4 linked regions of the Ovis aries genome follow. The protein of the gene in region 4 interacts with the protein of the main gene of each other region in a biochemical or structural test. Links are inferred from orthologs where the notes say so. Each region holds a gene or a part of one and is shown on either strand. Other genes may lie near its edges.

What was found.
Region 1: the proteins of STX1A (region 4) and SLC6A1 form a complex in vitro, tested with the Homo sapiens proteins (2 studies listed by BioGRID). The link is inferred for Ovis aries from reciprocal best matches to the Homo sapiens genes STX1A and SLC6A1.
Region 2: the proteins of STX1A (region 4) and SNAP23 form a complex in vitro, tested with the Homo sapiens proteins (3 studies listed by BioGRID). The link is inferred for Ovis aries from reciprocal best matches to the Homo sapiens genes STX1A and SNAP23.
Region 3: the proteins of STX1A (region 4) and STXBP5 form a complex in vitro, tested with the Homo sapiens proteins (2 studies listed by BioGRID). The link is inferred for Ovis aries from reciprocal best matches to the Homo sapiens genes STX1A and STXBP5.

The regions. Positions count from the first base shown.
Region 1 is NC_056072.1:55,028,923-55,035,748, reverse strand, and holds part of SLC6A1 (sodium- and chloride-dependent GABA transporter 1), read right to left. Parts: coding exon 6,753-6,826; intron 6,386-6,752; coding exon 6,254-6,385; intron 4,820-6,253; coding exon 4,717-4,819; intron 2,979-4,716; coding exon 2,878-2,978; intron 2,036-2,877; coding exon 1,868-2,035; intron 1-1,867. UniProt on the Homo sapiens protein: Mediates transport of gamma-aminobutyric acid (GABA) together with sodium and chloride and is responsible for the reuptake of GABA from the synapse. The translocation of GABA, however, may also occur in the reverse direction leading to the release of GABA.
Region 2 is NC_056060.1:36,049,579-36,057,130, reverse strand, and holds the start of SNAP23 (synaptosomal-associated protein 23), read right to left. Parts: upstream 3,947-7,552; 5' UTR 3,882-3,946; intron 1-3,881. UniProt on the Homo sapiens protein: Essential component of the high affinity receptor for the general membrane fusion machinery and an important regulator of transport vesicle docking and fusion.
Region 3 is NC_056061.1:71,707,309-71,714,828, forward strand, and holds the start of STXBP5 (syntaxin-binding protein 5), read left to right. Parts: upstream 1-3,078; 5' UTR 3,079-3,205; coding exon 3,206-3,358; intron 3,359-4,586; coding exon 4,587-4,684; intron 4,685-7,520. UniProt on the Homo sapiens protein: Plays a regulatory role in calcium-dependent exocytosis and neurotransmitter release. Inhibits membrane fusion between transport vesicles and the plasma membrane.
Region 4 is NC_056077.1:34,005,618-34,013,227, reverse strand, and holds the start of STX1A (syntaxin-1A), read right to left. Parts: upstream 6,127-7,610; 5' UTR 6,099-6,126; coding exon 6,069-6,098; intron 3,676-6,068; exon of another isoform or gene 3,543-3,675; intron 3,026-3,542; exon of another isoform or gene 2,882-3,025; intron 1,791-2,881; exon of another isoform or gene 1,688-1,790; intron 1,422-1,687; exon of another isoform or gene 1-1,421. UniProt on the Homo sapiens protein: Plays an essential role in hormone and neurotransmitter calcium-dependent exocytosis and endocytosis.

The sequences.
Region 1 (6,826 bases), on a different chromosome or scaffold from region 4:
CCCTCGCTTCCTCCACTCTAGCCAGGCAAGCCTCCTCACACGCACGGAGCAAGGGCCCCTGCTGTCCCCGCTGACTGGTCCCCGCTGACTGGTACATCCTTCCTTTCAGTGACACAGCTCGACCTCTGTCTCCTGAGGTCTCGGCTCACTGTTATCTCCCCAGCGAGCCCTTGCCCGCTAAGCCCCCTAAACCCCCTTTCTCCATACTGCTTAGCCCCCTCAAGCATGACTTTATTTAATTGTGGATCTTTCTTGCTGAGAAAGTATCGCCCATGGTGGTGGTGGTTTAGTTCCTAAGTTGTGTCTGACTCTTTGCAACGGCATGGACTTGCAAAGCCAGGCTCCTCCGTCCAGGGGGATTCTCCAGGCAAGAATACTGGAGTGGGTAGCCATGTCCTCCTCCAGGGGATCTTCCCGACCCAGGGATTGGACCATGTCTCCTGCTGAGCCACCAGGGACGCCAGTGAAGATGGGACTTGGGCTCAGGGCTGAGTCCCCGGCACTGACAGTGGTGTCTGGCACATAGCAACTGCTCAGTGTGCGTCTGCTGATGGGGTGACCCGCTTCCACCTTCTCTGCACGCCCTGCCCCATCCGACCCCATCAGCATCTGTCCTCAGACGAGCCTTCCTGTTTCCCACCACGGGGCCTTTGTACAGGCTGTGATCTCTGCCACTCTGAGACCTGACTACCTTTTGAGACTTAGCAGAGAATCGTGGGAAAAAAAAGCCTTGGACGTGGAGCTGGAAGAAAAGGCCACAAGGGCCCTAATCTGCTAATACCTGACTGCAAGGGGTGGAGAAGAGGCTTCCTGCCACGTCTTCCCTGTGCTGCAGAACTGCAGCCTCTCTTGCTGGCTCTGAGTGGGTCTTGGTGGGAAGTCAGGCTAAGAAGTGCGGATCCAGGTCCTCCCCAGCTGTGGCCCTGCATCCGTCCTCAGTGAATCCCCCAGCCCACACTTACTCCGTCAATGTCTCAGCCCCTGGACCTCCAGCACAGCCTTGTTCACTCAAGGATTCAATATAATTTAACAAAGAGCTGCTATGGACCCAGCATGTGCTAGGGGGCCCCCGCTGGGGATAGCATGCCTTTCATGAGTTAAGCTCTTAGCACATCTGATTCCACCCTTCACCTGCTCCTCAACGGCTCCGCACAACCCTCAGGATAAAGTCCAAAGTTCTTGTCCTGGTTTTCCAAGCCCTTCATGATCTGGGCCAACCTTCTTACATTCCCAGCCTCATCTCTCACCTCCTCCCTGCATGCTGCCTCCCCATGCTGCCTGCCAGCCTCACTGATCAGTTTATACCCCTGGGCCTTTGCACATGCTTCCTACCCTCTGCCAGGGACATTCTCTCTGCTTCTACTGTTTATCTATCTATTCTTTTCAGATTTGTTCTTATAGGTTATTACAGACTATTGAGCAGTGTGCCCTGTGCTCTCCAGCAGGTCCTTCTTGCCTGCTTTATGTATATCACTGTATGTATGCTAACCCCAGCTTCCTAATGTATTCCTCCCTTATCTCCTTTCCCTTTGGTAACCATAAGTTTGTTTTCTACGTCTGTAGATCCGTTTCTGTTTTGTAAAGAAGCTCGTTTGTATCTTTCCTTCCTGCTTCTACTTTTAAGTGTGGTTTGTCCTTAGGTCTTTTCTTTGTTGTCCCCTCTTTCAGAAAGCCTCTCCAATCCTCCTCAATGCGGGCAGGGCTAACCCGCCTCCCTGGTTCACCCCAGTTGTGACCTCTGACACTCTACTGTCATTGGCTATCGACCTGTCCTCTCCCCAGCTAGACTGCGCTCACAAGGGCAGGGGTGGTGCTCAGCACAGAAGAGAAGGGGCCCAGCGACAGGAAGGGCAAGGAACGGGCTTACCTGCTTCAGGGAGCCCTTTAAGGTGAGGAACATGTAGGCCATGTATCCGGGGATGAGAACCATGGAAGACAGAGCCATGAGCCAGCCCACGCCCTGGCCCCACTTGGGGAAGACGTAGCTCCCCATGGTGAGAGGGGTCATCTGCACGGCGCTGAAAATGAACACGCCCTGGGGCGGGGGCGAGAGGGAGGGGCCGGCGGTCACCCAGACTGGACTGCCAAGGCCCTTCCTCAGGCCCTGTAGATGGCAGGGCCACTGCGCTCCACCCTGCCCTGGAGCTGACAAGGGCCCAGCATCTTGGGAATCCCGCATCCAGGGCCACTGCTAGGATATAAGGTAACTTTGTGTAGAACAGAAGAAGCCACCATCTCTGAGAGGACCAATAATAAAAGGTGCCTTCTCTGTGACAGCCAATAGAAAAGGGCCTCCCTGCTGGGAGAGCCAATAAGAAAAAGGTGCCCTCTCTGGAAGAACCAATAGAAAAAGGCGGTTCCTCCGGGAGGACCAATTGCAAAAGGCATCCCTTCGTCCAGGTAACTAGAACAGGGGTGGGAGGTCGCCCCAGCCTGCCGTTGGCTGGGTGCCCTTGTGCCGCACACAATATATACAGTGGCCCAGGCCCACTGCAAAGACCTGGGTGGTCCCTCCCAGGCCGGTTCCTGCCTTAGTTCCCCCTTGCAGGAGGGAATGAGGGACGCTGAGAATGCGGGGCCTCCCCACGTGGATGGTTTGGCTTCAGAATCAGGCCAACACGGTTTGAGGACAGCACCTGCCCACTGGGTGAGGCTGGCTGGTGAGCCCCAGCCCCCCACAGCAGTGAAGTGAGGCAAAGACAGCTACTGTGCTGAGGTTTGTGAAGACTCCAGGGAACAGAGGAAATGCTCAGCACAGATGGGAGAGAGCAGTATTCCTAGGGAATAGAGGTCTGGGGCTCTTCCACCTGCCTTTGGCTCCGGAAGTTTCTCTCTGGCCCCGAGTCACCCCAGGGTCCGGTCTGGCCCTGCCCTTACCGCCACAATGATGGGGGTGAAGAAGGACCAACAGAGCTTCCACCAGATGCAGGGCCTGGAGCCGACCATCTCTTGGATGTTGTCATAGAACCGGTTGACGCCTGTGACAGTTGGGACGAGAGCAGGAGGGATGAGAGAGCAGTGGGCTCGAGGCCCCGACCTGCTGCTTCCTCACACCGCAGCCACGGCCAAGTCACCTAACCTCTCTGAGCCTCAGTTTCCTCGTCGGTAACACAGGGCGAATGCTCCAGGGTAGGGAGTCCTTGTTAGCTAAGTGCTCAATAACCAAAGCCCCCCCCCACCCCCACCACCCCCAGCAAGTGGGGCAGTCACTTGAAGGTGAGACCATCTACCACCAAGAGGATGTACCTACAGGAAGGAGCCCCACCAGCCTCAGGTCCCTCCCACTCAACATCTCTCCCAGCAAGGCCTTTGAAGCTTTGCTGGGCAAAGGTTTTCCCTGCTGATCTATTGCATGAGCGGCTGCAGATAAGACTGCATGGAAGAACTCCCAGTCGTGCAGAAAGAAGCCGCAGAGGTCCTGAAGTTCACGAGAGTTCACACTGGGCGCTGCTCAGACTAAAAGCAAGGTCATTGAGAATGAGGACCTGGGAGGGTCAGACCAGGTGGAGAGCAAGAAGGGAGAATGATGAGGAGGGTGAGGGGGCAGGGCTACAGGGACCCCAAGGGACCCTGGAGAACACTTCTTCCAAAACCACCAGCTTGCTGTGAAAACCAAAGTGCCCAAAAGGACAGCTTTTTCACTATCAGGCAGTTGAGTCCAGAAACTCAGGCCACAGGATCAACAAACACAAATCACCATGTCCTGCATTCTTTGTTCTATGATTGTTGCCGTTGTTCAGTCGCTAAGTCACGTCTGACTCTTTGCATCCCCATAGATTGTAGCACACCAGGATCCTCTGTCCTTCACTATCTCCCAGAGTTTGCTCAAATTGACATCCATTGAGTCGGTGATGCCAACCATCTAATACTCTTCTAATACCCTCTTCTCCTCCTGCCCTCGATCTTTCCCAACATCAAGGTCTTTTCCAATGAGTAGCTGGCTCTTCGTATCAGGTGGCCAAGGTATTGGAGCTTCAACTTCAGTGTCAGTCCTTTCAATGAATACTCAGGGTTGATTTCCTTTAGGACTGACTGGTTTAATCTCTTTGCAGTCCAAGGGACTCTCAAGAGTCTTCTCTGGTACTGCAGCTTGAAAAGCAACTTGAAAGGTGCTCAGCCTTCTTTATGGTCTAGCTCTCTTAACCGTACATGACTACTGTTCTAAAACACTGCATGCTTTTACTTATAGTTTAGCTTTTAAAAAATATTTAACTTTAGAACTTTTTTTTGTAGTTTTGCTTTTCTTTTTCTAGATACAATTTGAAATAATCTTTGATCCCCAAATTTATGAAGAAATGTTGGCTCCCACTTTAAAGGAGTTTAACTCAAGAGTTCAGTTCAGTTCAGTTCAGTCGCTCAGTCAAGTCCAACTCTCCCGGAGTTTACCCAAACTCATGTCCATCGAGTTGGTGATGCCATCCAACTAGCTCATCCTCTGTTGTCCCCTTCTCCTTCTGCCTTCAATCTTTCCCAGCATCAGGGTCTTTTCCAATGAGTCAGCTCTTTGCATCAGGTTGCCAAACTATTGGAGTTTCAGCTAGGGTATCTTCTAAACATGGGACGTCCTATGCTAACTTCATTGAATTGCTGTGAGGACCAAATAAATTAATGCATGGAAAAGGCCTGGTGTTGAAACTGTATTTGCAGAATGATGAGTGGAGGAAGGATGACTGGATGGATGAAGGAATGAATGGCGGAGGAGGGGCTGGTGCTTACCGTAAAACCAGGAAATGGAGACACATTCAAAGAACACGAGGAACAGAAGGCTCATGCCGCTGGCTGAGTAGTAATCGAAGAGTTTGAAGACATAAATGCCCCCCTGCAAGAGGAGAAGAGGGCAGAATGGGTCCACTTACCCTGGGGTCCAGTGCATTCAATTCAGCGTCAACATAGGCTGTGCAGGTTGGGGTTAGGCTACCCTGCAGCAAGAAGGCCTGACAGTAGATTAGAGGAAGGGCAGGGGGCCTTGCAGCCCTGCAAGGATGTGAGCGTGGATTCTGGGGACCAGGAATAAAGTGTCTGAGTGGCGGATGCAAACACCCCATTTCTGGGAAGGCTGGAGGGCAGAAAGAGGAGCTGGTCACCCGAGCCGCATGTTCACAATGTCAAACAAGTCATGTCTCCCCCCATAAGCTCTTCCATAACTTAAATAAGACCGTAATGTAACACATAAAAAGACAGATAAAATAAAATCCAAAACGTATTTGGAACGTCCTGCCCAATCCGGCTCTGCACCCACGACCTACCCCCCGACTCCGTCACCTCGACACTGGCCTTCCTCCTGTCCCCCACACTCGCCAAGTCCATTCCCACCCCAGGGCCTCTGCACCTGCTGTGGAGGTCTCTCCCCTGGCGAGGCCTCTCCCTTGGCTGGCTCTCCCGCACCAGTGAGGCCCTCCCGCCCTGCTGCTCATTCTCCATCCACTCTCCCATCTCATTCTGCCACATTAACTGCAGAATCTGCAGGGTCACGCCAGACCCACAGCAGCCGGTGAGCAACAATGAAGAATGGAGTAGCAGAGCAAGGATAAACCTGGGGCCAAACGGCATCTGGATCCAGGGATGGCTTTTGCGGCTCATAAATCAGACCAACAGGGCTGGGCTCACAGCTTCAGGCTCATTTGTATTTATCATGTAATTCCTCAGTTGTGTGTCTCTCTTCCAACTAGACTGGAAGCTCTTTCTTTAAAAAAACAATTTTATTTATGTGTTTGGCTGTGCTAGGTCTCAGTTTAACTGAGGCACGTGGGGCCCTCAGTTGTCGCACTCAGGATCTAGTTCCCTGACCAGGGATGGAACCCTGGGCCCCCTGCACTGGGAGCCCAGAGTCCTAGCCAGCGGACCACCAGGGAAGTGCCTTGGAAGCCTCTGAATGCAGAGAGGCCTGCTCACTCTCCGGATAGAAACAGGAAGGTGGAAATGAAAGGAAAGGAGAGCATCAGCCTCCAAGGCCCAGCTGCAACCTGACTCCCCGGGTTAACTCTGTGAGTCTTTCAGGCTCAACCCCGCATTTCCTCCTCCAGGAAGCAGTCGCTGGGGCCCCACGTCAGGTTGGGGAGGCTGTGTTCTCATTTCCCCCTCAGCGTCTGCATCTCCCACCAGCCTGGGAGCCCCTTGAAGGCAGGAACCCTGTCTGAGTCATGGCTTGGGGCCTGGCACAGAGACGGTGCTCAGCAGACACATGAGAGGGGGCACAGCAGGCCTGCTGGGGGCCCCAGGTAGCAGCAGCGGCAGAGACGTGCCAGGCGCCCACCTGGGTGATGTTGGACAGGCCGATCAGGTAGGAGACGAGGCAGACGGCGGCGATGAACAGCTCCCGGCGGTTGCGGAGCAGCCTGGGGTACTCGTCCACCAGTGCGGTGATGAAGCCCTCCACTGTGCAGAACTGCGGGGGGGCGGAGGTCAGCCACCCGGGCAGCTCCAGCCCCCACCCCCCAACCCCAACCCCAACCCAAGCCTGACCCTTGGGCCCAGCAGGGCCAGGAGAGCCTGGGATCCAGGCCTGACTCTCCCGCCACCTCCCTCCGTGACCTCAGAAGAGGGCCTTCCCTCTGGGCATCAGTTTCCCCATCTGGAAACTGGGCAAGGTGGCTGACCTGCCCCTAACATCTCACATGCCGGAATATTCTAGGGGGTCTGAAACTCGTGGCCATGTTCCCAGGGACCTAAGACAGTGGGCTGCTCTCCTGGCTGGTTCCTGGACCCGGGAGGCTGGCAGGGGCTCCTCGAGGTGCCAGGGACGGCGTCCTCACCTGGCTATCAATGCCCAGCATGAGCAGCATGGAGAAGAAGAGGATGGCCCAGAGCGGGGAGATGGGCAACTGGG
Region 2 (7,552 bases), on a different chromosome or scaffold from region 4:
TCACTCAGTCGTGTCCGACTCTTTGCGACCCCATGAACCTCAGCATGCCAGGCCTCCCTGTCTATCACCAACTCCCAGAGTCTACCCAAACCCATGTCCATTGAGTCAGTGATGCCATCCAACCATCTCATCCTCTGTTGTCCCCTTCTCCTTCTGCCCTCAATCTTTCCCAGCATCAGGATCTTTATAAATTAGTCAACTCTTCGCATCAGGTGCCCAAAGTACTGGAGTTTCAGCTTCAACTTCAGTCCCTCTAATGAACACCCAGGACTGATCTCCTTTAGGATAGACTGGCTGGATCTCCTTGCAGTCCAAGGAACTCTCAAGAGTCTTCTCCAACACCACAGTTCAAAAGCATCAATTTTGGGGCGCTCAGCTTTCTTCACAGTCCAACTCTCACATCCATACATGACCACTGGAAAACCATTGCCTTGACTAGATGGACCTTTGTTGACAAAGTAATGTCTGTTTTTTAATATGCTGTCTAGGTTGGTCATAACTTTCCTTCCAAGGAGTAAGCGTCTTAATTTCATGGCTGCAATCACCATCTGCAGTGATTTTGGAGCCCCCCAAAATAAAGTCAGCCACTGTTTCCACTGTTTCCCCATCTATTTGCCATGAAGTGTTGGGACCGTCCAGAACTAACACCCCCAAAAGATGTCCTTTTCATTATAGGGGAATGGAATGCAAAAGTAGGAAGTCAAGAAACACCTGGAGTAACAGGCAAATTTGGCCTTGGAGTACAGAATGAAGCAAGGCAAAGGCTAATAGGGTTCTGCCAAGAGAACACACTGGTCATAGCAAACACCCTCTCCAATACAAGAGAAGACCATACATGGACATCACCAGATGGTCAACACCGAAATCAGACTGATTATATTCTTTGCAGCCAAAAGCATCAAGAGGCAGTCTAACGGTAATCTCAACTGTCAAAACATTGTTAAAATAAATTTTAAACAAGTTTTATATACAAGAACTCACAAAAATCAAGAAGATGAAGGAATTTCAGAAAAATATAGTGAATAGTGACTTAAATATTTTAGTAGTAATTCAATCTAAACTGAAATTAAAACCAAAATGTCAGTGAACTTAAATGAGTAAAATGGAATCCCATCTCCACCCCCACCAATATTACAAAAGAACAGTAGATGCTGTTTCCTGGCTCCACAATCCACTTCCTCCAATTGTTAGAGGCACTGAATCCATCTGTTCCAAGCCCCTACCACTACCACTCCCAAGACAAAGAAAAGACCAGTCCCCGTCATTTATTTTCCTGTCAATCTACAGACCTGAAAACAAAATACAGCACTGGAATAAAAGGTTCAGCACTCTTGGATGCAAGCAATGTCATATATTATAAATGCTAACATATATAGAATGCAAAGTACAAAGAGTTAAAAAAACAGATTTCAGAATGTTTAAGACATAGGAACCACAGGAGGGAAACAAAGTACCTTAATTCAGCTGATTTCACAAAAACGTCAAAGAGCAAAATCCTCTTTTTCCCTTTTGCTATTCTACTTTTATCTGGTTTCACCAGATAAGTTTGTTAGAACTGTGTCACAATAATGAATACCATCACAAGGCTGAGAGAATTTTGGAGTCCATCAACATTAGAGTTTAGGTAGTTCAATTTCCACTTTATTTTAAAAATGAGTAGATTAGGCCCAAAGCTGCATTTTCCAAAGTGCAGAGCAAGAACAAGAAACGATTTTGCCAAGGGGGAGATGGGAGGTTCGGGAGGCAGGGGATATGGGTGTACCTATGGCTAATTCTTGTTGATGAATGACAGAAAAACACAAAATTTTGTAAAAAGCAATTATCCTTCAATTAAAAAACATTTTTTTAAAAATATACTAAAGCTGAAAAGAAATGATTTTGTTATAGTTCACGGGCTTCCCTGGTGGCTCAGTGGTAAACAATCTGCCTGCAAACAAAAGAGATGTGAGTTCGATCCCTAGCCTGGGAAGATCCCCTGGAGAAGAAAATGGCAACCACTCTAGTATTTTTGCCTGGGAAATTCTATGGACAGGGGAACCTGGCAGGTTACAATCCATGGGGTCGCAAAGAGTTCAACATGACTTAACGACTATAACAACAAAAAACAAATGGTTCAAAACAAGTGAAGTACCATAAGTGTCCCATGAGCAACAGGGCCTATTTGTTTGCTTTCTTCTTGGCTCAAGGTATTGTTCCCAATGATTAGAAAAGGTGTGACCTGTAGTTCAGTGAGCTTGTTACTAAAGTTGATTTAGAGTAAACGAGACAAACACTAAGATGCATACAGAAATTTTACTGTTTATAGGAAAGAGTGTAATATTGTTAAAAAAAAATAATGGCACAAATAAATCATTCCTTCTCTGGAACTAAGACAAAAGCAATTTTCTAGTGCATATTCACATACCATAAGCATCTAAAAAAAGAACTCCAGCAACACTGATAAACATTTAAGTTGTAGGTTAAATTATATGATCATTTTATTTACTTTCACATGACCTGTCAAAGGAGCAGAGTCATATAAAAGGTTTTTCTCCTAATTATTTACATGAATGTGTTTTTTCTCATTACCTCTTGCCAAAGGAATGAATGACAGGTGATCACTGCATGCCTTGGCATCAACTTTGCTGGCAGCGGAAACAGTAATATTTAAAAATTTTGCTATGAAATGTTTCAAGATGAGATGCCAAAGTATTCTTGCTAATGATGTCTCAAGAATTTCCATGCAAGACAAGAAAGTGGAAGAACCATTTCTATCTAGCCATACTTGCAGTATCTCACTGGGACATCTGAAAACCGATCTTAAGGGCACCACGGCAGATAGAGTAATATCACTCTCAAATCTTAAAGTATCTGCTGCTGCTGCTGCTGCTAAGTCACTTCAGTCGTGTCCGACTCTGTGTGACCCCATAGACGGCAGCCCACCAGGCTCCCCTGTCCCTGGGATTCTCCAGGCAAGAACGCTGGAGTGGGTTGCCATTTCCTTCTCCAGTGCATGAAAGTGAAAAGTTTAAGTGAAGTCACTCAGTCGTATCCAACTCTTAGGGACCCCATGGACTGCAGCCTACCAGGCTCCTCCGCCCATGGGATTTTCCAAGCAAGAGTACTGGAGTGGGGTGCCATTGCCTTCTCCGATCTGCTACAAAGACGCTACAGTATTTTCACAGTGCTGAGGGATCACTGTCAGAAGCTGCCAATTTCCATACTCTCCTCTCCCTATTGCTCCCACCCTTCCCCGAGAGATGTAAGTTAATACTCCTTTCTCATCTTCTTTTCCCAACTTTGACGAATTTCGGTTTCCTCTAACTCCCATCTGCCTTTCCTTGCATTGTGGTCACTAACGATGAGAAAAAGTCCCATGTGAAACACTTTCCGGGACTTTCCCCCGCCCCGCTTACCCTGTGGAATTCGATCCTTTACCGACCCTTTCCTTCGTGTGTCTTCCGTAAAGCCGCGTTTTAAAACTGGACTTCCCTGGACAGAATGGACTCTCCAATGCTATGAACCGCAGTACCCTCCTTCAAACAACTAGTTCAGAGTTTCTCTGATCACTGCGGCCACCATACAGTCTATTAATCCCGACCGCAGCAACACCGTGAGGGCGGGAAGTTAGAGAGTGGGAGTTTACCTCTGCTAGGTTTCTAGGAAGAGTCCAGAGAACCACCACCCTCCACCCTTCCTCCTCTGGCCGCTTGATAAGTCTCCCGGCGTCTAGCGTCCTCGATCAGGGCCGGACCTGCCAAGTCCCGGTCAGAGCGCCACCTCCTCCCCTTAAGCCCGACCTCACCAACTTTTCAACCGTCACGATACACTCTTTCTCCTTGAGATTATGATCCCAATCTTCTCCCCGGCCAGCTCACTCTTCCCCACTCCTGGAGACTCACCAAGCAGAGTTCCAGCCACTACTCTCCGGCCGCTACAGCTCTGGACACCCGCAGGCCGGACTCCCAGCTGCGACCTTCTTGCGCCTGCGCTCGCCAGCACTGCGCGCCTGCGCACTTCCCCGGCGCGGCGAGCCCGGACACACCCCTGTAGCTGGAGCCAATCACCGTGCGAGGGCTTTAAATCTCCTTGCCACGCAGGCGGAGAGCCCTGGGACTCACCCGTTTACCGGATAATTCGAGTACCGCCCAAAGGTGGGCAGTGTTCAGGCAACAAACTTTCACTGAGGGCAACCCATGTGCCTGGCCTTGTGCGGGATGAATGCTGAGGAAAAGGCGGCGAATAGAATGCCTTCCCTGACCTCTGTCTAGACTGGGAGATAGATTTGTAAACATATTATGAATGAATGAATGAATGAAGTCGCTCAGTCGTGTCCGACTGTTTGCGACCCCATGGACTGTAGCCTACCAGGCTCCTCTGTCCATGGGACTTTCCAGGCAATGGTACTGGAGTGGATCCCAAACCAGGGATCGAACCTGGGTCTCCCGCATTGTAGACAGACGCTTTACCGTCTGAGCCACCAGGGAAGTGGGAAACACATTATAGTGGACAGAATATAGTGCTTGGCATACAGAACATCCGAGGCGCCACTGGCGCACAAGGGACTAAGAGCTTTATTCTTAGGGTATCTGAAAGGGTTCCCGGAGGAAGTGAGTTTTGAAGTCATGAAGGATAAGTAGGAGTTGCACCGGAGGTACGGGGGCGGGGTGGGGGGGATGGGAAGTAGGGGTGGGGGCGGTGGGGGTGGGAAGTAGGGGTGGGGGCGGGAATAGAGGTCTCCAGACTGCGGGCATCGGAGAGTCCAAGAAGACCATAGTGCCTTCTGGAAGTTTCCTTGTAGTTCATCTAAGCTCCTCGTATATCTTCCAGTGAAGCGGGAAATGAGTTCTTAAAAGTTGGCAATGGCCAAGTCTTGGAAAATCTTGTACTTTTGAAAGTGAGCCTACAGTTTACCATGATCACTGAGAATATTGAAAAGTTTAAAAGTAGATCAGGAAATTGCTCCAGGCTCCCCTGAGAATACAGCACAGTGCTGGAAATAAAAAGTTTCAAAGGAGTTGTCTATTCCTAAGGAGTCAAGGAAGATGAAATCTGAGAAATACCACCACAGAGGTCATTGGTGATCTTAGCTATGTCATGAAATGACAAGAGTTAAAGATAGATTGCCGTAGTTTGGAGAGAGGAGATGCAGAAATGAGGACACATTATAGAATGCTTTTGGAAAGTATGGTCTTGAAGGGAATGGGAAAGAGGACAAGTGTTCAAGTTTTTTGTTTCTGCTTTTTTGGTTGCTATTAAAATTAAGACAGGAAAAACTTAAGCATGCTAGGTAAGATACAACTGAGAAAATAAATAGTTTTAAAGAGAAGCACTAGTCAGTAGATCTTGAGTGGGTAGGAGTAGAGGCAGTCCAAAGTACTGAGGGAAGGAAAGGTCTTGGAATCAAAATAGAGAAGATATCTCCTCAATTTTAATGACAGGAAGTATTTGTAAATCTGTATGTTTAGTAACAGGAAGTTAAAGAAGTTCTCATCTGTTGGCCTCTTATTTTCTCTGTGAAGTAGGAGACAAAGTCATCTACTGATAGAGAGGAGTTAGATGGAAATACCAGACCACCTAACCTGCCTCTTGAGAAATCTGTATGCAGGCCAGGAAGCAACAGTTAGAACTGGACATGGAACAACAGACTGGTTCCAAATAGGAAAAGGAGTATGTCAAGGCTGTATATTGTCACCCTGCTTATTTAACTTCTATGCGGAGTACATCATGAGAAACGCTGGACTGGAAGAAACATAAGCTGGAATCAAGATTGCCGGGAGAAATATCAATAACCTCAGATATGCAGATGACACCACTTTTATGGCAGAAAGTGAGGAGGAACTAAAAGCCTCTTGATGAAAGTGAGGGAGGAGAGTGAAGAAGTTGGCTTAGAGCTCAACATTGAGAAAACAAAGATCATGGCATCTGGTCCCATCACTTCATGGGAAATAGATGGAGAAAGAGTGGAAACAGTGTCAGACTTTATTTTTTTGGGCTCCAAAATCACTGCAGATGGTGATTGCAGCCATGAAATTAAGACGCTTACTCCTTGGAAGGAAAGTTATGACCAACCTAGATGGCATATTCAAAAGCAGAGACATTACTTTGCTGACTAAGGTCCGTCTAGTCAAGGCTATAGTTTTTCCAGTATTCATGTATGGATGTGAGAGTTGGACTGTAAAGAAGGCTGAGCGCCAAAGAATTGATGCTTTTGAAGTGTGGTGTTGGAGAAGACTCTTGAGAGTCCCTTAGACTGCAAGGAGATCCAACCAGTCCATTCTGAAGGAGATCAGTCCTGGGTGTTCTTTGGAAGGAATGATGCTGAAGCTGAAACTCCAGTACTTTGGCCACCTCATTAGAAGAGTTGACTCCTTGGAAAAGACTCTGATGCTGGGAGGGATTGGGGGCAGGAGGAGAAGGGGACAACAGAGGATGAGATGGCTGGATGGCTTCACCGACTCGAGGACATTAGTTTGAGTGAACTCGGGGAGTTGGTGCTGGACAGGGAGGCCTGACGTGCTGCAATTCATGGGGTCGCAAAGAGTCGGACACGACTGAGCGACTGAACTGAACTGAACTGAAGGTAATGGCACCCCACTCCAGTACTCTTGCCTGGAAAATCCCATGGACCGAGGAGCCTGGTGGGCTGCAGTCCATGAGGTCGCTAAAAGTCGGACGCGGCTGAGCGACTTCACTTTCACTTTTCATGCACTGGAGAAGGAAATGGCAACCCACTCCAGCGTTCTTGCCTGGAGAATCCCAGGGACAGGGGAGCCTGGTGGGCTGCCGTCTATGGGGTCACACAGAGTCGGACACGACTGAAGCGACTTAGCAGCAGCAGCAGCAAGTCAAGATTTGAACTCGGGACTGTCTGTTCTGAAGCTCTTGCACCTGTCAATAAGCTTCAGTAAATTTTACAAGGAAAGAATGATTGGAAGTTTAGCCACAACAGTTGCCACTGCTTAGGGGAACGGTGGGGACTTAGGAAGAGAGTAGGAGTAAGAGGGAAGCCTAAAAAAAGGCAAAAAGAATGGAAAAGAAAGGAGGGAGGCTGGTTACAGCGTTACAGCAGAGTCCGGTGCAGCGGGATAAGTCTGCCAGCTGGGCTGCCTTGTGATCTTCCATTCTTTTGAAGTAAAGTCTCGTTCCTCTGTGTCCGTTGTTCACTCTCGTGTGTTCAAATAAAGCTAGGTTGTTGAGAAAGGCGGACCGCGGCGGAGGGGGTGGGGGGAAGTGAGCGCGACGGAAGCGTTGTGCGCCTGCGCTCTGGCGGCGGCGGCGGCGGTGGAGGTTCCCGGTGGGGACCGGGTCCGGAGCGGGTCGCCGGACCCAAAGCTGAGGGGGGGTGGCTGGGGCGTCAATGGGCTCCCTCGCCGGCGCCTCGGCGGCCTGATGGAGTAAGAGGGGTCGGCTGTGAGTGTGAGTATCAAAGGGCCGGGCGGCGCCGAGGCGTATCGGAACCCCAGGGACCTGGTGGTCTGCCACTGTAGGGAGGCTGTGGGGGTGCAGGAAGCGGCCAGTCTCTGCGCCTGAGGGCTGCGGCGCGGGGGCTGCGGGTCGTTCTTGAAGGGGT
Region 3 (7,520 bases), on a different chromosome or scaffold from region 4:
GGGAGGCCTGGCGTGCTGCGATTCATGGGGTTGCAAAGAGTCGGACACAACTGAGTGACTGAACTGAACTGAACTGAATGTGTACCTAATTAGTGCAAACTTTACATTTTTCTTCCCCAGTTTATCCTCCAAAACCCAAGGAAGAAGGTAGTATTAATCTCATTTTACACATGAGGAATCTAACCCTTAGGAAAAGTAAGGAATTTGTCCAAGGTTGCCCATGTTACCAAGGTCTGGATTGAAATCCATGTCTGGCAGACAATGGAGTCTAGGATTTTTCCACTATACCACAAAGCCTCTCAGCAAGAAATTGTCCCTTCTCCAAACAGTTTCATAATCCAGTGATGACAAATCATCCAACAGATATATTTTCAAACTAGGTGAAAAGGTGGATCATAAAATTCTGTGGGGAAGTGATCTCTCTTTTTTGCAATTTACAGAGGTTAAAGCGTCTGCCTCCAATGTGGGAGACCTGGGTTCAGTCCCTGGGTCAGGAAGATCCCCTGGAGAAGGAAATGATAACCAACTCCAGTATTCTCGCCTGGAGAATCCCATGGACGGAGAAGCCTGGTAGGCTACAGTCCATGGGGTCGCAAAGAGTCGGACACGACTGAGTGACTTCACCCTTCACCCTATGGAGATATACCTATTTTTTAAAAAGCTCTCCAGGTAATTCTGACCGTCTCCCAGCTGGCTTCTAATGCTTTTTTCCCTCCTCTTCACCTAGCCAACTCCTCCTCACCTGGACTCAACTATGATGAGTTCCCCATCTCCAGGCCTTCTCCTGCCTTCCCTTAACCCTCTTCAGTCCTTCTCTTGCATGATTTCCTCAATGAACTCATCACATTGTTTCACAATTATTTATTTACTTGAGGTTTGCTCCTATTTGACTGGCGAGCTCGTTGAAAGCTTTGAGTCTTCAGTACCTAGCAAAGTGTTCGACACTCAAAAAATGTAATCAGTAAACAAAATTTTCAGAGCCACTTAGAAATGGCCTGAAAAAAATCTTAAAACTTGTTTTTATCGCTGGTTACGCCTAGTGAATTAACTAGGTAATTCAATAAATATTCAATACATATTAAATTCAATACATATTAAAACAATTTTATAGGTTTCTAGTGTAAGACAGCGTTCTTGGATGCGGAAGCTCCAGAGTACTACATTTCCCGAAATTCCTGAGGCTCAGTCGCTACTGGTTTGTTGACTGTTCTTGACAGCCTGTCATTTCAACCAATACTCTGACGAGAATTTCCCTGCACCGGGCGGGAGGCGACCAATCATAAGGAAGAGGGCGGGAACTTCTTATTTGGGCTCAGAAAACCCTCTGTAACTCAGAAGCGTCAGGGGCTGGGAGTTGCTAGCTTTGGGAGAGTACGCTTCTTCCCACTTCCACCTCACTAATTAGACTTCGTCTTTATGGGTTTCCAACCTTTTCTTTACTTTTTCCTAGTTTCCACTCCTTCCTAATCAGTACCTCTGCTTCCCATCCACCTTTCCGTGTTAAACTCACTCTCCGGAAAAGGTAACCGCAGCATAAATCTATCTTTTCAAACTTGAGCTAGACATCTGCCTGTGAGCATCCAAGTGAGACTGTGACAGTGAAGCAATGGAAAGATTCGAGCTTAAACTTCCTTCTTTCCCCCTTTCTCCTTGCAAGAGTGAAGAAGCTACTGGAGATTGCTTAGTGGACAACAGCATTACAGGACGGATTGAAGATTCTGAAATGAGTGCCCGCGCTCTTTACTTCTACCCTCTCTCCCACCCCCATCTCCACCACCTTAGCGTGCGGACTGAATCCAGGGCTGATGTGTCACTGGTTGGGGCAGACACCCAGCCCTGGAACCGGTTCCCTTTGGCAGCCTATCCCATTCTAGCAGCTACCTGCCAGGTCCACGCTTTCATCCTACCAATAGTAAGAGCTTCAGGAAAGAATTCATTTCCCCGCTGCAGGTTCATCTCCTTTCCTAGTACCTTTCTAAGTCTGTCATACTCTTGCCACAGAAATAACAGTTGTCTAGACGCTCTTTTTCCAAAATCCAAATCCAAATCAACCCAAAACAAATACCATCAAAAAAGCAGCAACAATCATTTTGCAGCCAGCAGCAGGGAGTGTGTGCCTCGTTAAAGGGTGAGAATATAAACCCTCGCTCTAATGACCGATTTTGAAGTAAAGGTTTCCTGCTGCTTGGTAGTCATCAACATTTTTACTACCCCAGCTGCAGGAGAACCAGCTGCATCCACTGGCAGGGCGACTGAGATGGGAGAAATTTAGCCACGGTCTGGGATTTTCGCAGAGGATAATTTAAGCCCCAGCTCCACTCCGACGGCGGAGGGGGTGGGTACGCGCGGTGCGCATGCTCAGCAGCCCGGCTCCGCCGAGGCCCAGCTGCCGCCACCGCCGCGGCCAGCGCTGTAACCGCGGCTGCCGCTGCTGCTCGGAGCGGGCGTTGGTGCCCTGTGCCGAGGCGCCCTGTCAGGCGGGAGGGAGCGGCCGGGCGGGACCGCGGGCGGCGGCGACGGCGGTGCCTGAGGAGGGCAGCCGGGGCTCTGAAGGAGCGAGCGAGGGCGGGCCGAACCAGCCGCGGAGAAGCCAGGCAGAGAGCGCGGGGACCCACCCCGGCGCCCTGCGTGCGATGCCCGGCGGGCAGCGGCGCTGAGCGGCAAGAAGGCCAAGCGGCGAACGCGGAGAGCCGGCGACCCCCGGGAGGAAGAGGAGGAGGAGGCGGCTGATCCGGAGCGGGAGGAAGCGCTGAGGGACTGCGGGGGCCCGGGCGGGCGACGAGCGGCGGAGCCGCTGGCCATGGACGCGGCGGCGGCGGGGGCGAGCCGGGGCGGCGGCGCGGCGCAGAGTCAGCCCGCCGCCAGGTGAGGCTGGGCGGCGCGGGCTCGGGGCGCCGCCGCCACTGCTGTGCCGCCGGGCCGCGGAGTGAGGCGGCGGCGGCGGCGGCGGCTGAAGCGGCGGCCTCAGAGCGAGAGGGGTCGCCGGCGGGGCTTCTGGTCGCCGCTGCGCTCTCTCGTCGTCGCAGCATTTCCTGTTCGGATTATCTCTCGCTTCTCCCCAGCTGCCTCCTTCCCCTCACACTCCCACTCGCGCCTGCTCCTCTGCGTCCTCGGTCGAAGCTGCTCTCGGCCCGGGCCGGTTCCCCTCCGCCTGGGGACGCCCCTTACCTCGGCTCCCGGGGTGCGGGGGAGCCCCGCCGCGACCATGAGGAAATTCAACATCAGGAAGGTGCTGGACGGCCTGACCGCCGGCTCGTCCTCGGCCTCGCAGCAGCAGCAGCAGCAGCAGCACCTACCTGGGAACCGGGAGCCCGAGATCCAGGAAACGCTCCAGTCCGAGCACTTTCAGCTCTGCAAGGTGAACGGAGCGCGCAGCCCCGCGAAAATTGGGGTCGTTCTAGGGGCACCTCGGGCTTTAAGCCTGAGTGCCAGGGTTAGAACGCCAATAATACTCAATACCGCGAATAAAAGGGCTCGCTCCCACAGCACACATTTGCTTGGTGGGCTATTTTGGAGATTGACATCATCTTACTCCTCTTTTCGTTGATTTTCACATGCGGCAGTCATTTCAGGATTGCTTCCAGCATACTGACCTTTAATTCGTATTCTTAATCAACGACGTTTATATTCAAGCATTTTGATAGATCTTTCACCGACTTCCAAGTTTCCTTTGGGAAGTGTCTAACGAATATTGTTTATGAGAAAGATAGACGTGTTCAACTGGATGTTGGCTCATTTTCACCTTAAAATGTGGTAGGAGACTTCACATATGAAATCACAGGGTCTTGTTAGCCTTGTGTTTGGTGGAAAAGTTAGAAGTGGAATTTTTGCCTGTTAATTGTACGGCAATTGCCATAGTGATGTGTAATTCAGAAAGAATGATGCAGCGAATTAATTCACCAGCTGCTCAGTGAGAAATACAAACTTGTGTCTGTATTAATACCTGCCTTCCTCATAAATACCAGGCGTTCGTTAAGTCAGAGTTTAAGTGTGTATTATACTTTTTGCTTCAGTAGCCTAAAATTAAGGATTTAATACCAAGATGCAAAAATAGATGCTGTATTTATTTTCATTCTGTTACGGTTGCAACATGATGAGATAGATTTTTGCTAATTCCTTTGCTGAATCCTTAATTATGACAGTGTTTCCGTAAACGTACTTGCATTTAACATAGAAATAAAGTAAGGATGAAGTTATCACACTTGAAATAAGCATGAATTGCATTTTTAAATGAATTTACAGAATTTTTTACCACTGCCAACTTTAATAATTTATTTTCAGACATAAGAGTAAAAAGAATGTTAAATTTTTTTCTAGAGTACCTCTGTGATGAGAAAGTAGAAATGTAACACTGGGATCGATTTTTTTTTTTTTTTGGTTTCAGTGTTTACTTGCATAAGTTTTTATGTGATGTAGAATTCATAGTTTTCATAGTTTTTTTTAAAATAGCAGTGCATGTATGTGTGTTTTGTTTCAGTTATAATAGGTTCTTAATTGGTTCTAGGTTCTAATGTCTCTGTTGACTTTTCTGTTTTAAAACTTTGCTTCCTGCCCTGGTTGCTGTGATGTCACTTGCCCATGCCTAGACTGTTCGCCATGGATTTCCCTATCAACCCTCGGCCCTGGCCTTTGATCCTGTACAGAAGATCCTGGCAGTGGGAACTCAGACTGGTGCTTTAAGGCTGTATCCTTTCATTTAATTTAATTGAACTTTTCCCCAGTCATTCTCTTTGCTGATTAGTTGCTTTTCCTGTGTAATTCCAAAGAAATGGTGTGATCAGGTATTAATGTGAAATCCTGTGGTTGTTTTTCCCCTTGATTATACATACGTTCAGGTTGTGTGTTGCCTTGTTGTGTCTTGACTCTCAATTTATACACAGCTAAAAGCATGTGAAAAGAGTTCTAAAGGTTTGTAATAATAATTACTGTCTTTGCAAGGAGGTAGACGTTTCTAAGGGGAAATATATCTGCTTATAGTAGTGGTCTATTGAACAGGCTATGTTGAGGATGAAGCTTAAAGACAATTGCACGAGGCACATTTTATTTGCTTTTTAAAAATATTGTTCATAGTAGATGTTCCAGTTATGACCTATTTATTATTCTATTGAATTAGAGATTGAATTTGAATTTGTTTCTGACCTGATCATCTAAAAAAATTAGAAAACAAATGTAAATTTTATAAGTTACAAAGTGTTGCTGTTTTCTAGAAGTTTTAGAGCATTTTCTTAGTATAATGCAAATAGAGAAGTATACTATCTTGATATGTTTCCCCATCATGATCTACATTTGTGATGTATATGTAAATACTGTGAGGTTAACTGTCCTCTGAAGTATAGAGACATATTTCCTAGTTATGCATGAACTATAATTTTATCATAGCATGTTTTTCCAAATATCTACTCATTCTTCGAGATCATTTTTTCAGTCTGAACAATGGAGAATATTTAACAATTCCTCTCAAACTATTAAAACTTGAAGTAAAATTGTGTTTACTTTTACTGTGACATTTACCTACATTGCCCTTATTTTTAAACTTAAGCTTAAGATTTTAAAAAGAAAATGCTTTGTTCACCATCAATAGGGTATTTGCTTCCTATATATTAGTGAGGTAATGTGTTGGTAATAAATAGCAAAAAACCACCAGATAATAAACAGAGACACAAGGAACTGTGCTTTCCACATTTTAGATTTATCTGCCTCCTGAGAAGGGGGAGGGGGTGGGAAGCTTATGTTTGATTTAACATTTTGCATTTCCTTACCTTTCAAAGTCTTCATTTCAAAGTAGGGCTATATATGGTATCAGGATGTGCCTCGTTTCCTTTGTGATTAATGTGCTATGTTCAAAATGCTTATAAAAGTTTTCATTGAATTGTGTTACTAAGTGAAGACTATCATTCATAGTAAATATCAATAGTACTCTCATACCTAGTAAAATGGTAATATCTGACCAGGCTAGATCTCAGTTTGTGAGTTTCTAAGACAGTATGTCTAAATGGTTCTTGCCCAAATATCTAGTTGATTCTGAAATATTTTTTACTTCATTTGTTTAGATATTCCTATATCCAGTGATCAATACCTTTCTACTGGAGGGTTCCTGTTTTAGTCTTGTGAAGATGGGATTTAAATTTTGGCAGTGTGGGTACTAGTTGTCCAGCACAGCTCTGTGTAGTGGCAAAAGCAGTGCGTTGTTGATCTAGATGGACTGTTCAGAATGAAAAGCCAATTTTTTTTGTTCACAAAGAGAGTATCGCCTGGACTCAAAGGGGGAAAAGTGTGGAACTAAATTAGTTATTTTTAGATTATTTTGGTTTTCTTTTCAGTGGGTTTAATTTTTACTGTTTTCCCAGTTGAGACCCAATGTGGTCTTAATTTTTTTATGTACATAACTGTTTTTAACAGCCAGTCTGCTTCTTTTATAACTTAATATAATAAGTATTGCAAGCAAGGCTGACTTTATAAGACCAAATATTTTTCTTAAACAAGACTTTTTACCCCTAATGCATTTGAGTAATTAGCATATTATTAATACGCAAGGGGAGAGGTTAAAGTGTTAGGCCTAATGTTAATTGCCAAATGACAGTAGGGATCAGGTGTACAAACTCATCACTTATATCAGTCTTTTGCTTTTGTACATGTTTAATAGTTAAATACTATATGAAAAGGAAACCTATAATTTACATTTACACTTAATTTTTTTTAGAACTTTTCTTACTATATTTAGAATGAAATTAAGGAATTTATCAAATATATTTCTGCTTTCCCTTTTATGAGATTTATATGAACATTCCAGAGTGATAAATTGGTTTGTCTACCAGTAATACCACCTAGTCATTCCTCCTGTCAAGTTTAGGTAGAAGATAAGCTCATGAGCTTTATTATGGCTTATATTTGTAGAAAGTGACTAAGATCTTTTTATTCTTATATAATTTCTACCATATGTGGTTTAAAATTTGTTCGTTTCTCCACTTGTTTTGAAAACTGGGCAGCTATAGTTTATTTCCAAGCTCCATATTGATTTAATGTGCAGACTTATTCTAAGTCTGTTCTTTTGCCCTAGCTATGTTTTTCACTGTTTTATTCAGTTTCTTTTAGTCCTTTGTTTTTTTCTCATATTAGACTCTTATAGCCTATAATACATTTTGTTCTAAAAGATGTCTTTAGGACAGAAATATACTTGTAAATCAAAGTCTTTACTTTCATTTAACTGTGGAGCAGAGTAGGAGATTTTTAAAAGTGGGATTGGGCTATTAGAATTTGAATTGGATATCTAATTTAACTAATAGAATATCTTCCTAAATGTTGAAGGACTATATTAAGTTCTGTTTTGAGATTAGGAATAAAATATGGAATTTATATCTGATATCTAAGGTTTGTAGATAAGAACTGTGGAAATCTGAATCCTTAAATAGTATCTAACCAATAATGATGCAAGATCAATTGAATGTATTTGCAGCATTAATGTATAGCAAATGACTAATCTAATTATATAAACGTGCTTTGTGTTCAGCCTTCTTGGCTTC
Region 4 (7,610 bases):
TAAAGAACCTGCTTGCCAATGCAGGAGGCATGGGAGACCGGAGGTTCGATCCCTGGGTCGGGAAGATCCCCTGGAGGAGGAAATGGCAGCCCATGCCAGTGTTCTTGCCTGGAAAATCCCATAGATAGAGGAACCTGCAGGCTACAGTCCATGGGGTGGCAAAGAGTCGGACACAACTGAGAACACACACACGCACACATACACGAGGGCCTGACCTCACAGCCTGTGTCAACCGACCGAGGCTCTGGGACTGGATGCTCCCGGGGCATCCCTTCCAAATGCTACAACTTCCTCCTCAGGCTCTTTTCACTCTCACCCCTCCACCCACCCCCACTTCATCTCATTGCTCCAGTCTGAAATCTGATCCCAGCACGCCCCACCTATAATCATCTCCCGCCCCTAGAATCTGCCCACTGTCCTCCCTGCAGACCCCAGGCGGCTTCCCCCTGCCTGCAGTGCTGATTCTGTGAAACCGACATTCCCTTCTTCATCAGATGGCAGCTCTTTCGGAAGCCTTCCTCATCTCCCCAAGGATGGGACCTCGCTCCTCTCATTCCCCACACCCTATTCACATCCCTACTGGAGCCACTGCAACAGACTCTTAAGCCCTGGGAGACCTGAAAAGTCACCCTGGGCACAGCTTCTAGTCTCAGCTTTCACACCTCCAGTGGTGGAGAGCTCACTAGCTCCCCCAGGCTCTTCTGTCTATCTAGGGCAGCCCCAACTGTTAGAAAGCCCTTCCCTTTCCTACAAGTTGGCCCCAGGCCATAGAGAACCTGTTGGTGCCCTCTCCCTGGGCTGGCCCTGCCAGAAATCGGAGGGCCAGAGATCTGAGGGCGGCATCTGCATCCTCCCTGGTTTTTCCTTCTCAAGTTGACCAAGTTCCCTCCGCTTTAGATCCTTCCCGGAGGCCTTAAGTCGAAGCCCCCGCCCCAGATCTGTTCCACTTACTCTCTGTCTTCTCCAGCAGGACAAGATGGAAACTGAATCTGCTGCTGACTGTGGTCGGAGCAGGGCCAAAGCTCTGACCCACCACCTCCCTCTTCCTACAAAGTCGACCTCTGTTAATGCAGCCAGAGACCACAGAAGTCGTCACACAGTTCTTCCTGCCAAGGAAGAAGCCCTTCCCCTCCCTGTGTACTTGGTTGGCTTTTGGGCTCAAATGAAGGATCTTCATTTGTTCTGATCCTTGTCCCAGTCTGTGAGAATCTGATGGTTTATGCCTTTGTCGCCCCCTCCTACTTTATCCCCATCTAGGCCAAGGCCCTGATTGATTAGGGCCCCAGCTCCCTTGGGAATCGGCCAACCCTCTCAAAGTGGCAGTCACAGCTCCGGAAAGACGGCTGGACTAGAGTGGGGGACCGGAGAGGCTGTGGTGCAGAGGCGGCAGCTGGAGTCGTGAGGCAGTTACAAGCTCCGAGGTACAACTGTCTTCCGACAAACTCCCCCAGACATCACATGGGCACCTTGCCAACCACCTGGCCAGAGCTAAGTTCCACTTCTTCCTCCTGAGCCCCCGTTCTTAAAGAGTCTCCCAAGCCAGAAACTGGGGGGCATCCACTCTTCCTCCTCCTCTCATATCCAACCAACATCCAATTGGCTCTGGTGTTTGTTTTTTGATCCTGTTGTTTTTAATTCGTGGCGTCCCAGGTGGCTCAGTGATAAAGAATCTTCCTTCCCCTTGCAGGAGATGTGGGTTTGATCCCTGGATTGGGAAGATCCCCTGGAGGAGGAAACGGCAACCCATTCCAGCATTCTTGCTTGGACGATCCCATGGACAGAGGAGCCTGGTGGGCTACAGTCCACGGGGTCACAAAGAGTCGGACATGACTGAGCATGCATGCACATTTCTAAGTATCTTTCAGGGGTTCTCAACCTTGGACCAGCAACAGAGTCCCTTGGGGGTAGTTAAAAAAAAAAAAAAAAAAAAAAAAACACAACAGCTTCCAGACCAAATGAGAATCTATGGGGGTGGCGCTGGTGAGGTTGTTTTTTTTTTTTCTTAAAGCCCCCCAGGATTGGGAACCCCTGGCCTGTTCTCTGGCCAGCTGGCTATCTTGGCTCTGGTCTCATCACCTCCAGCCTGAGCAATCAGGAAAGGAAGTCAGGGTGCGTGTGAGCACTGCCCCCACCACAGGGACCTGTTGAGACAGGGGAGGGGATCCCACTAGAAGCCCCCACTGTGCAGCCCTGGTGGTCTCTCTGGGCAGAGGCACCAGGATTCCACGATCCCTTCCTGGAAATAAGAGTGCGATTCCTCCAAGAGGTGCGGAGGCCAGGCAGCCTCCAGGCCTGTCCCGGGAGATGGCGGCCGGCCAGCAGGCACGGTTGATTCATTGCTGCTGGAGCAGGAGTTGCTGTTGTCTGTCTTGAGGGCTATTTTTTTTTTCCCCTTCTTTTTAATGACTAATCAAAGCCTATCTCACTAAAGCAGAGAGGCCCAGAGCTGAGTCAGGGGTGTGCGAGAGACTGAGCTAGGTCTCCAGAAAGAAAGGACTCTCTCTGACCCCTTCCTCTTCCCCACCCTGCAAACCATGCCCCCACCCGCCCACCAGATCACCTCTGCCAGTCTACCCCGTAGCAGGGCCCCAGCACAACTCAGGGAAGCAGCTTCAGGGTGTGGGGAGGGGCTGGGCTCTGCCTCCCTCCAGGTGCTGTGTGACCTGAGATGAACTCCTGGCCCTTTCTGGACCTCAGTTTTCCACTTTGTAGAATAGGAAGTGGCACTAGACAGTCCCTGGACGTCATCTGCACCTCAGATGAACATGTGCCCAAATTCATTATTATTAATAATTTTTTTAAAGAAATCCCAAGGAGGTGATGGAAAGAAGGGCCCCTAGCCTGGGCCTATTCTTACACCCCCCTTTCTTCTGCTCTGCAGGGCGAAGTGGGCAGGCTCCATTATGCAGACAAATGAGCATAAGGTTAAAGCACCCACCTGCCTGTTCTTGCTCCGAGACCCTCAGTCCCTTCAGTCGGCAGAGGGGTCACTGGGCTTCACCACTCAGGCCCGCATGCTGTCCCGGTGAGCAAGCGGGGACTCTGGGTGTCAGGCCCAGGCATCGCCAGCCCCTCTCCCTTTTGTCACATGGGTCCCTTATATTGGCCCATCCTCCCTCCTCCCAGTCAAATCCAGCTCCTCCCCCGGGCGATCCCAGTCCTCTTCTTCCAGGAAGGTTCCTGTTCTGCCCCACGCTTCCTCCTCTCTCTGGCTCTGGCTCCTGCCACAGGCCCCCGCTGTGTCTCATGGCCCAGGAGGCGCATACACACCGTTCTGGGCCCAGGGAGGGGTGTCAGCTCCAAGCAGTCCTCGGAAAGAACACTGGGGAGACCTCTGAACAGGGGGATGGAGGTAGCTGCTGGCCAGGCTGGGGCTGCCTGGGGACACCTGTCCCTGAAGTCCCCCTGGTTTTATACCCTCTGGTCGCACACGTCCGCACCCCTCCTTGGGCTCCAGGTTGCCCTTTTGATCTCTGAGGGCTGTTGGACGCTTTCAGGCCCCCACACTGGCCCTGGATGACCCCTTCCTTCTCTCTCTGCAGGAGAGGATCAGCCCCCGTGAGAGATGAGGAGGGATGGAGAAGGCTGGAGGGCTGGGCCCGGCCTGCAGTGCGGAGGAAACATGCCAGCTCCTTCCCCAAGTGTGACTTTTATAAATAAGCTCCCTTCGCTTGCTTTCCTTCTTCCAAATGTGGTGGCGTGGGGTGAGGAAGGAGGAGGGGGGAGGGAGGGGGATGGAGGGTGGGGATGGTGCAAGCAGCTGTCCCAAGCACCACCCTCTGTCCAGCCCAGCCAGCACTGGCCTCTCAGTTCCTTGGGGATTCTGGTTCCTGGGGGTGAAGGTCTCCCCCAGATATGGAATCGGAGTCTGGAGACCTGTGACCGCTTGCCCTGAGAAGCTGGGTTCTCAGTTTTTCTATCCCTACTTCCTAGATGGGAATCTGTGCAGCCCAAAGGAAGACTTGTGGGAACGGCCGCCCTCCCTAGACTAATGGTTGCACCCCACTCAGTGTGGGCTCCTTCCAGCCGATCCTCAAGGGTGCTAGCAGCCCCTGAGGGACAGGGCCACGCAGCCACGAGTACGGCAGCCTGCGTGGGGAGTGAATGCCTGGAGTAGGGGAACATCTGCAGAGGAAGCCTCAGATTACTTTAGAGAAGCCAGACCTCATCACCTAAGGACGGGTCTGGCTAGTGTGTGTGCGTGTATATGTGCTGGGGTGGGGGAGGGATTCACCAGAGCAAAGACCGGGCTTCAAGCTCCTACAGTCCAATGTCTCTTAGGCCTTAGGTCTCAGCCACGTCTAAGTCTGACTGTTTTCAGGCCTAGGTAAAGCCCCTTTCCCTCATCCCACTTGATCTGCCAGGCTAGCCACATCTCTCTCTCATGCCTCTGTTTTCCCTTCAGTGAAGGGGATGAAGGTGATGAGTCAGAAGACGTCAGATGTCAAGGGCTCTGTTCCCCCTGAGCACTGGTTCCCACAGACACTCTGGTCTGACCCACCAGGCACCCAAACACCAGGAAATGCACTACACACCCTTCATCCCCAAGATAACAACACTCCTTCTGATTCAACCGAGCACAGGAAACTTGAGGGCAACCGCAAAGCTGGGGGGGAAGTGTTTATAGACACCATATTCGACATGAGGGACCATCTTCTTCCTTTGAAACCTCCAGGGGTTTACCCTGGAGCGGGGGGTGCTGGGCACTCAGCCAGGAATAATACAGGTCTAATGGGAGAGTGGGGGCTGGCAGCCAGAGCAAGGGGGTGATGGAGGCAGGAGGGCACAGGTACCAGCCCCAGGCTGCCCAGGAGACAAGACTGGTACAATGGGGGAGAGCCAGGCACAAGTGCAGGGAAGCTGTGTGCAGAGAGGACCAGCCATGGGATCACAAACCCAAAGGATACTTGGGACTTTCCATATAAGGGGACCAGGTCTCCAGCTCTAAGCTGGGTAGCAGGGGAAGGGTTCTAGGGAGACTCTGCCCCCACCCCTTACTCCTGCAAGAAGTCAGCAGGGTGGTCAGCCAGGGCCTCAGAGGAGCCTCAACCTGGTTTAGAGCCCTGATGTCCGGGTTCCTCACAGGCAGGCTTCACTTCCTTCTCTGCACAGTCCCGGCCCTGTAGCCCCTCCCAAGATTGCCATCTTTAAGGGCAGAGGCCAGGGGAGAGGGGCTTTGATGATAAGGAGCAGGCGCAGGGGTCTCTGTCTAGGCTGGCAGAGGGCGGGCTCTGACTCGAAACCTTTGCGCATCCTTCTGCTCCCCCCACCGGAACCACGCCCCAGAAGCCACACCCCAGTGGCCTCCGAAACACAGGTGGAAAAAAATAGGTTCAAGCCGGAATCCGATCTGGAAACCCAGGAAGGGTCTGGAAACGCCGGCTCCCGGCTGCCCGGAAGCCAAGAAGAGGGAACGAGAGCGGGCCTGACCCCTCCCGGATCGGGCAGGGCAGCAGCTGCCGATCAGCACCGGCTGGGGAGCCACAGGTGATGGGAGCTACAGGTGACGGAAGGTGATGGGGGCGGCGGCCGTCCCACGAGACAGCGCCCGCCCGAGGAGCCCGGCCCCACCCGAGCGGCCGGGTTCTGCAGCGCGCCCCGCAGCCGGGCTCTGGACAGGGGACCGCCCCTGGCCCCTTCCCTTCCCACAGGTCCCGCCGTCGGTCTAAACCAGAGGGAGTTCAGGCGGGTCAGTGAGGAGGCACGGCGGGGAGACAAGGGTCGGGACCTGCTCCGCCGGGCGACGGGGAGCCCAAGCTTCGGTCCCGCCACCGATATGCCACAATATCCCTCCGAAAACAAGGGGGGGGGCCGAAAAGTTTATCTAGGACCCCAGGTTCCAGCCGCCAGCCCGCGGGCCATCGCAGCCGAGCTCACGCGAGCTCGTGACCCCAGTGGGTCCGAGGGGCGGACCCAGAGTGCGGTGGGGTCGCCGGCTCGGCACCGCTCGCTCCCGCCCTGGCCGGGGACGCAGGGGCGACCGCCCCAGGGGCCGCCAGAGTCGGTCGGGAAGCGGACCGGGCCCTGGGCGCCGGCGGCCAGCGGCGCCGCGCAGGGGCTGGACTCACCGTGCGGAGCTCCTGGGTTCGGTCCTTCATGCTCCCGGGAGTGGCAGCGGCGCCGGCTGCAGCCCGGTGAGCCCCGCATGCGCGGCGGCCGCCCCGCGGCTGCGCAGCGCCAGCCCGGCCCCGCCCCGGCCCCCGGGACCCCGGCCCAGCCCCCAGCCCGGCCCCGCCCCGCGCCTGCCCCGCGCCTGCCCCGCCCCAGTGGGTCCCAGCCGAGAGCCCAGCTCTGGGGCTCTTGGCACCCAGGCTCCCACCCCATCCCGCTTAAGGTGCTCCGAAGGGGCTGAAGGGTCACAGACCCCGGGACCTCGTTCCCTTGCGTTCCCAACATCCGTTCGATCCCTCCCGGAGGTCGCTCCCCAGAGCCGCTGCCCCGTCCCAACGCAATCCTCCCTCGACTCAACCACTCAGCATCCCTCCTTCTGGACGCAGACTGTTTCTGGACCTTCACCTCCAGAACGCCTCACATCTCTGCTAGAGGCCAGACACCACCTCCCTCCTTAGTTTTATTGCCTTGGGGTCTGCAGCATCACCCCCTCCCCAAACCTCCAGAGTTCCAGGCTTTGTGGCTCCCACCCCTCCGGCCTTCCCCCCAGAATCTCATCCAGACTCAGGCTCAGGCCCCCTCTTTCCCCAAGATTTCTCAGTTCACAGTCTGATGCTGAGTGACCACCTCGTTTAGTTTCTACTCTCAGCAAGATTGCAGGAACCCCTCCATTTGGGGGGAAGGAGATCTAGGTTATTGCCCCATCTCGTTCTCCTTCCCCTGTATTCCCAACCCTGCATCCCAGCCCCAAGCCTGAGAGCTTATTTCCTATCTAGAAGCTGAGGGTAGCTAAGCAGGAGCCCAGCTCCACTGGACTAATGGGAAGATCTTTGCAGAGCTGGAGAGGGATGGTGGCTGGGGGTTAGTCAGTAGCAGAGGCTCCTTTCCGGGTTTCTGCCAGCCTCTTGTTGAGCAGCAGCCACTCACACACCCCCAGCTGCCCCCTCCGTGCCCTGGCCTAGACGCTCTTGACCTGGAGCCAAACATTCCCCTTTCCCCTCCCCGGGGGCTGCCAAAGGTGTTGCTCTGGAGTTGAGCCAGCCTCCTGCTGTGCAGTGTGTCAGAGCCTGGCACTTCTCCCAGACTGTGGGCTCAGGTTAGCTGGCTGGCAGACAGGCTGGAGGCACTGTTCCAGCCATCCCTTCTTCCCTAGAAAGTCCGGCCCAAAGCTAGCTCAGATGTAGCCTGGCCTGAGAGACAGCCACACCCCTTCCACTTGGCCAGACCTCAATCTTGAGTGACCCACACAGCAAGTGCTGGTTGCCCAGTTTGACAGATGCGAGACCGGGACTCATCTACTAGGAGGCTTGCCCAGGGTTACAAGGGACAGGCAGCAGGGAGAGTGCTGATTCCTGGTCCAGGGTGCTTTCCTGTGTGCAGGGTGACTCAGTGGGGTGAGTCATGGGTGCAGACCTGGAGCCGGTTGTCTGGCCCTGTGGGGGAGAGGACAGAAAGGGAGACACAGCTCCTGCCCTCACAGAGTCCTGGTATCATGCCAG